2 linked regions of the Xenopus tropicalis genome follow. Each later gene encodes a partner of the first gene's protein in a complex. Links are inferred from orthologs where the notes say so. Each region holds a gene or a part of one and is shown on either strand. Other genes may lie near its edges.

Region 1 (4,368 bases):
TAAAGAGTCGTCTGTTGCCAGAATAAAAACATAAGGATCACTTCATTTTTCCCGCCCTCTTTTGCATGAAAAGCATCAGAACCCTCTGATGGTCACTCACTACAACCTTCTCCTATATTAGCCCTTTTTGTCCATAAATTGTCACCTAAAACACTGGAATCCTCTAGTACCAAAATAAAAAAGATTAAAAAAAGCCTATAAACTCTCAATTGGTTTTGGTCAAGTTTACCCATTTTCTTGTCCTAAATTAGCCATTGGTCTGTTCATAAATTGTGAAAAAGCTAGTAGCCATACCTAAAAATATACTGGGACCCTCTGATGCCACTGTGAAAAAAGCCTAACAACTACAGATTACTGATGGTATATTTCACCAATATATTCTTTATCTCCCCCATGAAACAGGAAAACCCCCTGCCAGCACTGCTCCTTACCAATACCCTTTTGGGGCCCAGAACCTTCTGCGGCAGAACTGACAGGAAACCTGCACACTTTTAAGTTACGACCAGAGTGAATGTAAATTATTTATTTTGGTTAATTTCACCCTTTTACCGAAATCCAGCCCTTATTTACACAAAACCAGACACCCTCTGATAAAAAGAGCCTAAAATATATATTTTACCCATTATATTCTCATAACTAAACCTTTTAGGCACAAATTTGTGAAAATTATTTCCCTAATTTGCACATCAAACATTGGGATCCTCTTATACCACCAAAAAAATAAACCCTAAACCTTTGACCATTTGGTCAAATTGACCCATAGTCTTACTAAATTAGCCCTTGGTTCTGTCTCCAAACTAAAAAATATGGTCTGTCTTCACAAAAACACTAGGCCCCTCAGACACCAATGCTGTCCACGTAATTCACCCATTCTATTCTCAAAAATGACTCTTTTTAGCCCTAGATTGTCAAAAACATGGTCTCAATTTTCACATAAACGTGACTTTCCAAAAAACATAACCTTAGACCAGAGTTAACAATTACTGTGATACCAACATGAAAAAAAGCCTAAAAGATTAGGGCTGGTACGTATCACCCATTTTATTTGCTAAATAAGTCCCTGAACTGAGAAGAGCATGGCCCGAATCCTCACATACAGCGACCTGCACTATTGGCTAAATATCAGGAGCAGAGTAACCTCAGCAAAAGTATTAAAAGTGCGAGCGGGAAAAATGACTAGTAGTAAAAATTAATAAATATAACATAAAATAAAAGCCGCGAACAGCAAGCCCATGTTTTTAACTGCATCACGTAGTGAAATAACCGAGGTACGCTGTATATATAGCTGTGTGGTGTGACGTCACATTCTCGCGAGATCAGACTGGCGATATCTAATTCACCTGTCTGATTTAAGGAGCTGGATTATTGGAGGTATTTTAACGCATATTAAAAGATTTGCAAGACACATGGACTGTTATGGCTCCCAAACTATTAGACGCACATCGCGCTTGCTATTTGTAGCCTCAGTCGCGCAGTGACATGACGCACGGATATCAGCGGTAGGTTACAGTGCGCCGCTAAATCTCGGCTGCTACGCGTTACGTGGTGGCCAATTAGAGTTGCCGATTCGGTTGCCTAGGCAATTGCGACGCGCTTTTCTGAAATATGGCGGAAGACTGGAATCAGGATGTTGGGGAGGCAGTGTACAGATCCCGGGACCCCATAAAGAATCTGAGGATTCGGTGAGTGTCAAGGGGTTATTGTTGTTCGCAGCCCTACTCGCATGTGGAGCGCTAGTTACTCAGTGTCTTATTTGTCTTCAGAGTGACTCTGCAGCGGGTTACCCCGGCCATTGCTCTGGTACAGCGGGTGCAGGAGGAGGATGCAAATAGAGGAGGACTCGAACTACAGGCGCTGCACAACAACCCAGAGGCGAACAGTGAGTGATCCGGCCATATTGTGTGTTTCCCTTTCATTTTTAAGGCTGCATGGTGCCTGGGCGCAGGCTGGCTGTAGGGTGAGCTGTGCCTGGGCGCAGGCTGGCTGTAGGGTGAGCTGTGCCTGGGCGCAGGCTGGCTGTAGGGTGAGCTGTGCCTGGGCGCAGGCTGGCTGTAGGGTGAGCTGTGCCTGGGCGCAGGCTGGCTGTAGGGTGAGCTGTGCCTGGGCGCAGGCTGGCTGTAGGGTGAGCTGTGCCTGGGCGCAGGCTGGCTGTAGGGTGAGCTGTGCCTGGGCGCAGGCTGGCTGTAGGGTGAGCTGTGCCTGGGCGCAGGCTGGCTGTAGGGTGAGCTGTGCCTGGGCGCAGGCTGGCTGTAGGGTGAGCTGTGCCTGGGCGCAGGCTGGCTGTAGGGTGAGCTGTGCCTGGGCGCAGGCTGGCTGTAGGGTGAGCTGTGCCTGGGCGCAGGCTGGCTGTAGGGTGAGCTGTGCCTGGGCGCAGGCTGGCTGTAGGGTGAGCTGTGCCTGGGCGCAGGCTGGCTGTAGGGTGAGCTGTGCCTGGGCGCAGGCTGGCTGTAGGGTGAGCTGTGCCTGGGCGCAGGCTGGCTGTAGGGTGAGCTGTGCCTGGGCGCAGGCTGGCTGTAGGGTGAGCTGTGCCTGGGCGCAGGCTGGCTGTAGGGTGAGCTGTGCCTGGGCGCAGGCTGGCTGTAGGGTGAGCTTTTCCTGGGCGCAGGCTGGCTGTAGGGTGATCTGTGCCTGGGCGCAGGCTAGCTGTAGGGTGAGCTGTGTCTGGGCGCAGGCTGGTTGTAGGGTGAGCTGTGCCTGGGTGCAGGCTGGCTGTAGGGTGAGGGGTAGGGGCAAATTTAATCCAGGACAAAACCAAATACTGTGCATGGAGCAAAATTGTAGTAAATATATGTATGGCGCTCTTTTTGGTATTTCCACTACTTTTTAGCACTTGAAGAAGAGAGTTGCCCTAAAACATTTGCCTTGATTGCCAATAAAACTACGTTTGCACATTGCTGTATTAAGTGCCATTTGGATAATTTACTGGATTTCTATGAAGGGTAGGGTGAGCTGTGTCTGGCTGCAAGCTGTCTGTAGGGTGAAAAGGTAGGCTGAGCTGTGAACACAGAGTCAGGTACAAGGTGATCTGTGGGGTGAGTTGTACGTTGACTGTCTGTAGGCAGCAGAGAAGAGAATGTGTAAATGGGCAACAGCGAGCAAGGATTTCTCACATTCAGTGACTCTTTGCTTCACATTCCTGAACTGGAAGAGTATTGCATGTAGTATGAATACATGCACCTAGATAGGCTTCTATTCAGATATAAGTATCCTGGCGATATTCCTGTGGCTATGTATAATTCTTTCCCTGCCAAAAATGGCTTGCTCTGCTTTATGCCTGAAACTATAACTGAATTCTCCAATTGCAAGATCTGTCTGAAAGAACTATGTTTTATCTTGTTTCTACTACTATACAAAGTAGAAGCCTTTAGTACATTAACAAATTTTGTGCATTTTTGTTTTTATTATTTTTGTTGTCCTAATTGTCATGATCTTGTCTTTTAAGGGGGGCCTCATCCTAATGAGGAGAAGGAAGAAGTGGTGATTTCTTGGCAGGAGAAACTTTATAGCCAGGTAATTTCTTTTGTTGGCCTTCTCTTCCCACTAGCCCATAGCAAATAATTGTAAGTGGCCTAGTACTGAATTCAAATTTATTTTTATATATTTTCCTATATGAATAGCACATCTAATGCAGGTTACTAAAACAGCTGGTAAGCTGCTTAAAGGCAATCTATATCTCATATATGTTAATTGGTGCTTTATAAGTAAAGTTACAAATTTTGGTCCCTTATGAAAAGTGATGCTGGTACATTTAATGCCTTATTGTCTGGAGCCTTTTTAGTGATTTGTTCTGTTAATGCAACAGCAGGAATATGGGGTTCCTATTCTAGAACTTACAGAATATGCAATTAAATGCACAGTTGAACATTATATTAAAGGAGAAGGAAAGGTTCAATCAGGGAGGGGTGCCAAATGTTAGTGAGTGATTGTAATCACTTACATGATACCCCAGACTTGTGCTCCTGTTAGCAGAAAACTGCACCAGCTCGGGGTACATGTGAGTAAGCGTTTCTCTTCTTATCTTCTTCTTTCTTCAAAATCTGGGGCTGCCGTATGCACAGTAGAGTGAAAATGACGGATTTCTTTTTGTTAAAGTTCAACTTTTCACTCTAGTGTGCATGCATCAGCCCCAGATTTTGAAGATGTACCCCCAGCCGGTGCAGTTTTCTGCTAACAGGATGTCCAGCCTGTGGTATTGGGTAAGTGATTACAATTACTGGAGGTGCCTTCAATTTGGTACCCCTAGCGATTAAACCTTTCTCTTTTAAAGGCAATAATAGGGAATCTATGGCTGAAGTAGGCTACTGGAGGCTACAGAACTTCTGCAGCTATTTCTCATTAGCCAAGCCACAAATGTTATCTCTTGTTCTG
Region 2 (4,501 bases), on another chromosome or scaffold:
TATACAGGCTTCCCTGACTCCTATTACTGTATATACAGGCCAGGGACCCTCTCATATAATATATCCAGGCTTCCCTGACTCCTATTACTGTATATACAGGCCGGTAACCCTCTCATATAATATATCCAGGCTTCCCTGACTCCTATTACTGTATATACAGGCCAGGGACCCTCTCATATAATATATACAGGCTTCCCTGACTCCTATTACTGTATATACAGGCCAGGGACCCTCTCATATAATATATACAGGCTTCCCTGACTCCTATTACTGTATATACAGGCCGGTAACCCTCTCATATAATATATACAGGCTTCCCTGACTCCTATTACTGTATATACAGGCCAGGGACCCTCTCATATAATATATCCAGGCTTCCCTGACTCCTATTACTGTATATACAGGCCGGTAACCCTCTCATATAATATATACAGGCTTCCCTGACTCCTATTACTGTAAATACAGGCCAGGGACCCTCTCATATAATATATACAGGCTTCCCTGACCCCTATTACTGTATATACAGGCCGGCAACCCTCTCATATAATATATACAGGCTTCCCTGACTCCTATTACTGTATATACAGGCCAGGGACCCTCTCATATAATATATACAGGCTTCCCTGACTCCTATTACTGTATATACAGGCCGGTAACCCTCTCATATAATATATCCAGGCTTCCCTGACTCCTATTACTGTATATACAGGCCGGCAACCCTCTCTTATAATATATACAGGCTTCCCTGACTCCTATTACTGTATATACAGGCCGGTAACCCTCTCATATAATATATACAGGCTTCCCTGACTCCTATTACTGTATATACAGGCCGGCAACCTTCTCATATAATATATACAGGCTTCCCTGACTCCTATTACTGTATATACAGGCCGGTAACCCTCTCATATAATATATACAGGCTTCCCTGACTCCTATTACTGTATATACAGGCCGGTAACCCTCTCATATAATATATCCAGGCTTCCCTGACTCCTATTACTGTATATACAGGCCGGCAACCCTCTCATATAATATATCCAGGCTTCCCTGACTCCTATTACAGTATATACAGGCCGGCAACCCTCTCATATAATATATACAGGCTTCCCTGACTCCTATTACTGTATATACAGGCGGGTAACCCTCTCATATAATATATACAGGCTTCCCTGACTCCTATTACTGTATATACAGGCCGGCAACCCTCTCATATAATATATCCAGGCTTCCCTGACTCCTATTACTGTATATACAGGCCGGTAACCCTCTCATATAATATATACAGGCTTCCCTGACTCCTATTACTGTATATACATGCCGGCAACCCTCTCATATAATATATACAGGCTTCCCTGACCCCTATTACTGTATATACAGGCCGGCAACCCTCTCATATAATATATACAGGCTTCCCTGACTCCTATTACTGTATATACAGGCCAGGGACCCTCTCATATAATATATACAGGCTTCCCTGACTCCTATTACTGTATATACAGGCCGGTAACCCTCTCATATAATATATACAGGCTTCCCTGACTCCTATTACTGTATATACATGCCGGCAACCCTCTCATATAATATATACAGGCTTCCCTGACCCCTATTACTGTATATACAGGCCGGCAACCCTCTCATATAATATATACAGGCTTCCCTGACTCCTATTACTGTATATACAGGCCAGGGACCCTCTCATATAATATATACAGGCTTCCCTGACTCCTATTACTGTATATACAGGCCGGTAACCCTCTCATATAATATATCCAGGCTTCCCTGACTCCTATTACTGTATATACAGGCCGGCAACCCTCTCATATAATATATACAGGCTTCCCTGACTCCTATTACTGTATATACAGGCCGGTAACCCTCTCATATAATATATACAGGCTTCCCTGACTCCTATTACTGTATATACAGGCCGGCAACCCTCTCATATAATATATACAGGCTTCCCTGACTCCTATTACTGTATATACAGGCCGGTAACCCTCTCATATAATATATACAGGCTTCCCTGACTCCTATTACTGTATATACAGGCCGGTAACCCTCTCATATAATATATACAGGCTTCCCTGACTCCTATTACTGTATATACAGGCCGGTAACCCTCTCATATAATATATCCAGGCTTCCCTGACTCCTATTACTGTATATACAGGCCGGTAACCCTCTCATATAATATATCCAGGCTTCCCTGACTCCTATTACTGTATATACAGGCCGGCAACCCTCTCATATAATATATCCAGGCTTCCCTGACTCCTATTACAGTATATACAGGCCGGCAACCCTCTCATATAATATATACAGGCTTCCCTGACTCCTATTACTGTATATACAGGCGGGTAACCCTCTCATATAATATATACAGGCTTCCCTGACTCCTATTACTGTATATACAGGCCGGCAACCCTCTCATATAATATATACAGGCTTCCCTGACTCCTATTACTGTATATACAGGCCGGTAACCCTCTCATATAATATATACAGGCTTCCCTGACTCCTATTACTGTATATACATGCCGGCAACCCTCTCATATAATATATACAGGCTTCCCTGACCCCTATTACTGTATATACAGGCCGGCAACCCTCTCATATAATATATACAGGCTTCCCTGACTCCTATTACTGTATATACATGCCGGCAACCCTCTCATATAATATATACAGGCTTCCCTGACTCCTATTACTGTATATACATGCCGGCAACCCTCTCATATAATATATACAGGCTTCCCTGACTCCTATTACTGTATATACAGGCCGGCAACCCTCTCATATAATATATACAGGCTTCCCTGACTCCTATTACTGTATATACAGGCCGGCAACCCTCTCATATAATATATACAGACTTTTATAGCTACTTATACTGTATAAATTAACCATTAAATATCTCACATACAAAGTATTCCCCGGGCAGAGACCAGTTAAACCAGTAACTTACTGGAACAAAACCCTTACCCGTTCCAATCTCCGAGCCGAAAACCCGCCGCTTACCGTTGCCTAGCAACCCCTCAGCGTCCTAACCAAAACGCGCAGGATTCAGGAGATTCTGACCATTCACCTACTGAGCCCCGGTCACATGGGGCAGAAGGCAAGTCCGCCATTATTGTAGCTGGAAGTTTTAGCGCTTTGTCGTAAAAGCGACGACACATCCCTGATTATGAAACCTGTCCCAAACTAACATATATATAGATGCAAAGCCTCCACAATGGCGGCTAATCGAAAAGAAGTTACAGTTCGAGCGAAAATATATCAAGCCATAGATGCAGGGGGGAAAATAAAAAGCTGAGTTGGCAGCGGTGGGATTCGAACCCACGCCTCCAGAGAGACTGGAGCCTAAATCCAGCGCCTTAGACCGCTCGGCCACGCTACCTTCTTACTACAGGCCTGATGCACCCTGGGAATATTACTGGGTATAATGACGTCATTATGACTTTACTTCCCACAGTGAGGGAATTAACTGCATGGGAAGTTACACAAGGGATTTATATATCCTCTATACAGGTGGTTTAGGCTCCTGAAACATTGTTTCTTTCCCACCCTCCAGGGGGCGGGGGAAGCAGCACCTCCCTGTGCATACCCCTTGACTATCTGGGCCCACCAGGGTCGGACTGGGCCGCTGGGACACCGGGACAAATCCCGGCGCTCCCCCTGCCCGACCGTTCCTCCCCTGAGGCGTTAAATTTACGGGAGCTCAGGGGAGGACGTCGGGTGGGGGACCCTGTGGGGGGTTGGGGGGGTTAGGGCGGGAGCCCTGGTGTGCCCTGCACCCCCCCCAGTCCGACCCTGGGGCCCACAGATATAGCTATCTTTCACTCCCCAAAATGTGTAGGGCTGTATAACAAACTGCCTAGATCTTCTAATCAGGCATTGGCCCATCTGGAACGCTCTCCAAAGAGTGGCCCCTAAGCCAAATGGATGGAGAGCATACAAGTAAAGGTGGCCATACACGTAGCTGAAGTTCAGGGCTGAATCATCAGATAAGGAGGTAGAAACAATAGAAATTCTACCTCCTTCAGCCCTGAACGTAGATTTTGCTCGGGCGCCTTCAATGGCGCCTTCAACCGATATCCACAGCCTCTGGGATATTGGTCGCCTCTACAAGTCACCATACACGCACCGAATATTGTACGAGATGATAACATCTGTGCGTGTATGGCTGGCTTACGAATGCCTTTCTATTGTTCCGATTACTGATTGATCAGAACAGCAGGAGGGAGAGAGAAGGTGTAGTAAGGTAAACTGATAGATCGATAGAAAGAGATACTGGGGAGAAGCAGATGAAGGTCTCTCAGGGAAGAAGCGTTGGATCAAGGAGATCGTGGGAGAAGCAGATGAAGGTCTCTCTGGGAAGAAGCAGTTGGATCAAGGAGATGGTGGGAAGAAGCAGATGAAGGTCTCTCAGGGAAGAAGCAGTTGGATCAAGGAGATGGTGGGGAGAAGCAGATGAAGGTCTCTCAGGGAAGAAGCAGTT

What was found.
Region 2: mks1 (region 1) and tmem107 share a complex: the UniProt entries of both Homo sapiens proteins name them as parts of the tectonic-like complex. The link is inferred for Xenopus tropicalis from reciprocal best matches to the Homo sapiens genes MKS1 and TMEM107.

What each region holds. Positions count from the first base shown.
Region 1 is NC_030678.2:41,734,384-41,738,751, forward strand, and holds the start of mks1 (Meckel syndrome type 1 protein), read left to right. Parts: upstream 1-1,472; 5' UTR 1,473-1,605; coding exon 1,606-1,682; intron 1,683-1,763; coding exon 1,764-1,879; intron 1,880-3,442; coding exon 3,443-3,510; intron 3,511-4,368. UniProt on the Homo sapiens protein: Component of the tectonic-like complex, a complex localized at the transition zone of primary cilia and acting as a barrier that prevents diffusion of transmembrane proteins between the cilia and plasma membranes.
Region 2 is NC_030679.2:144,535,610-144,540,110, forward strand, and holds the start of tmem107 (transmembrane protein 107), read right to left. Parts: upstream 3,093-4,501; 5' UTR 2,986-3,092; exon of another isoform or gene 2,969-2,985; intron 1-2,968. UniProt on the Homo sapiens protein: Plays a role in cilia formation and embryonic patterning. Requires for normal Sonic hedgehog (Shh) signaling in the neural tube and acts in combination with GLI2 and GLI3 to pattern ventral and intermediate neuronal cell types.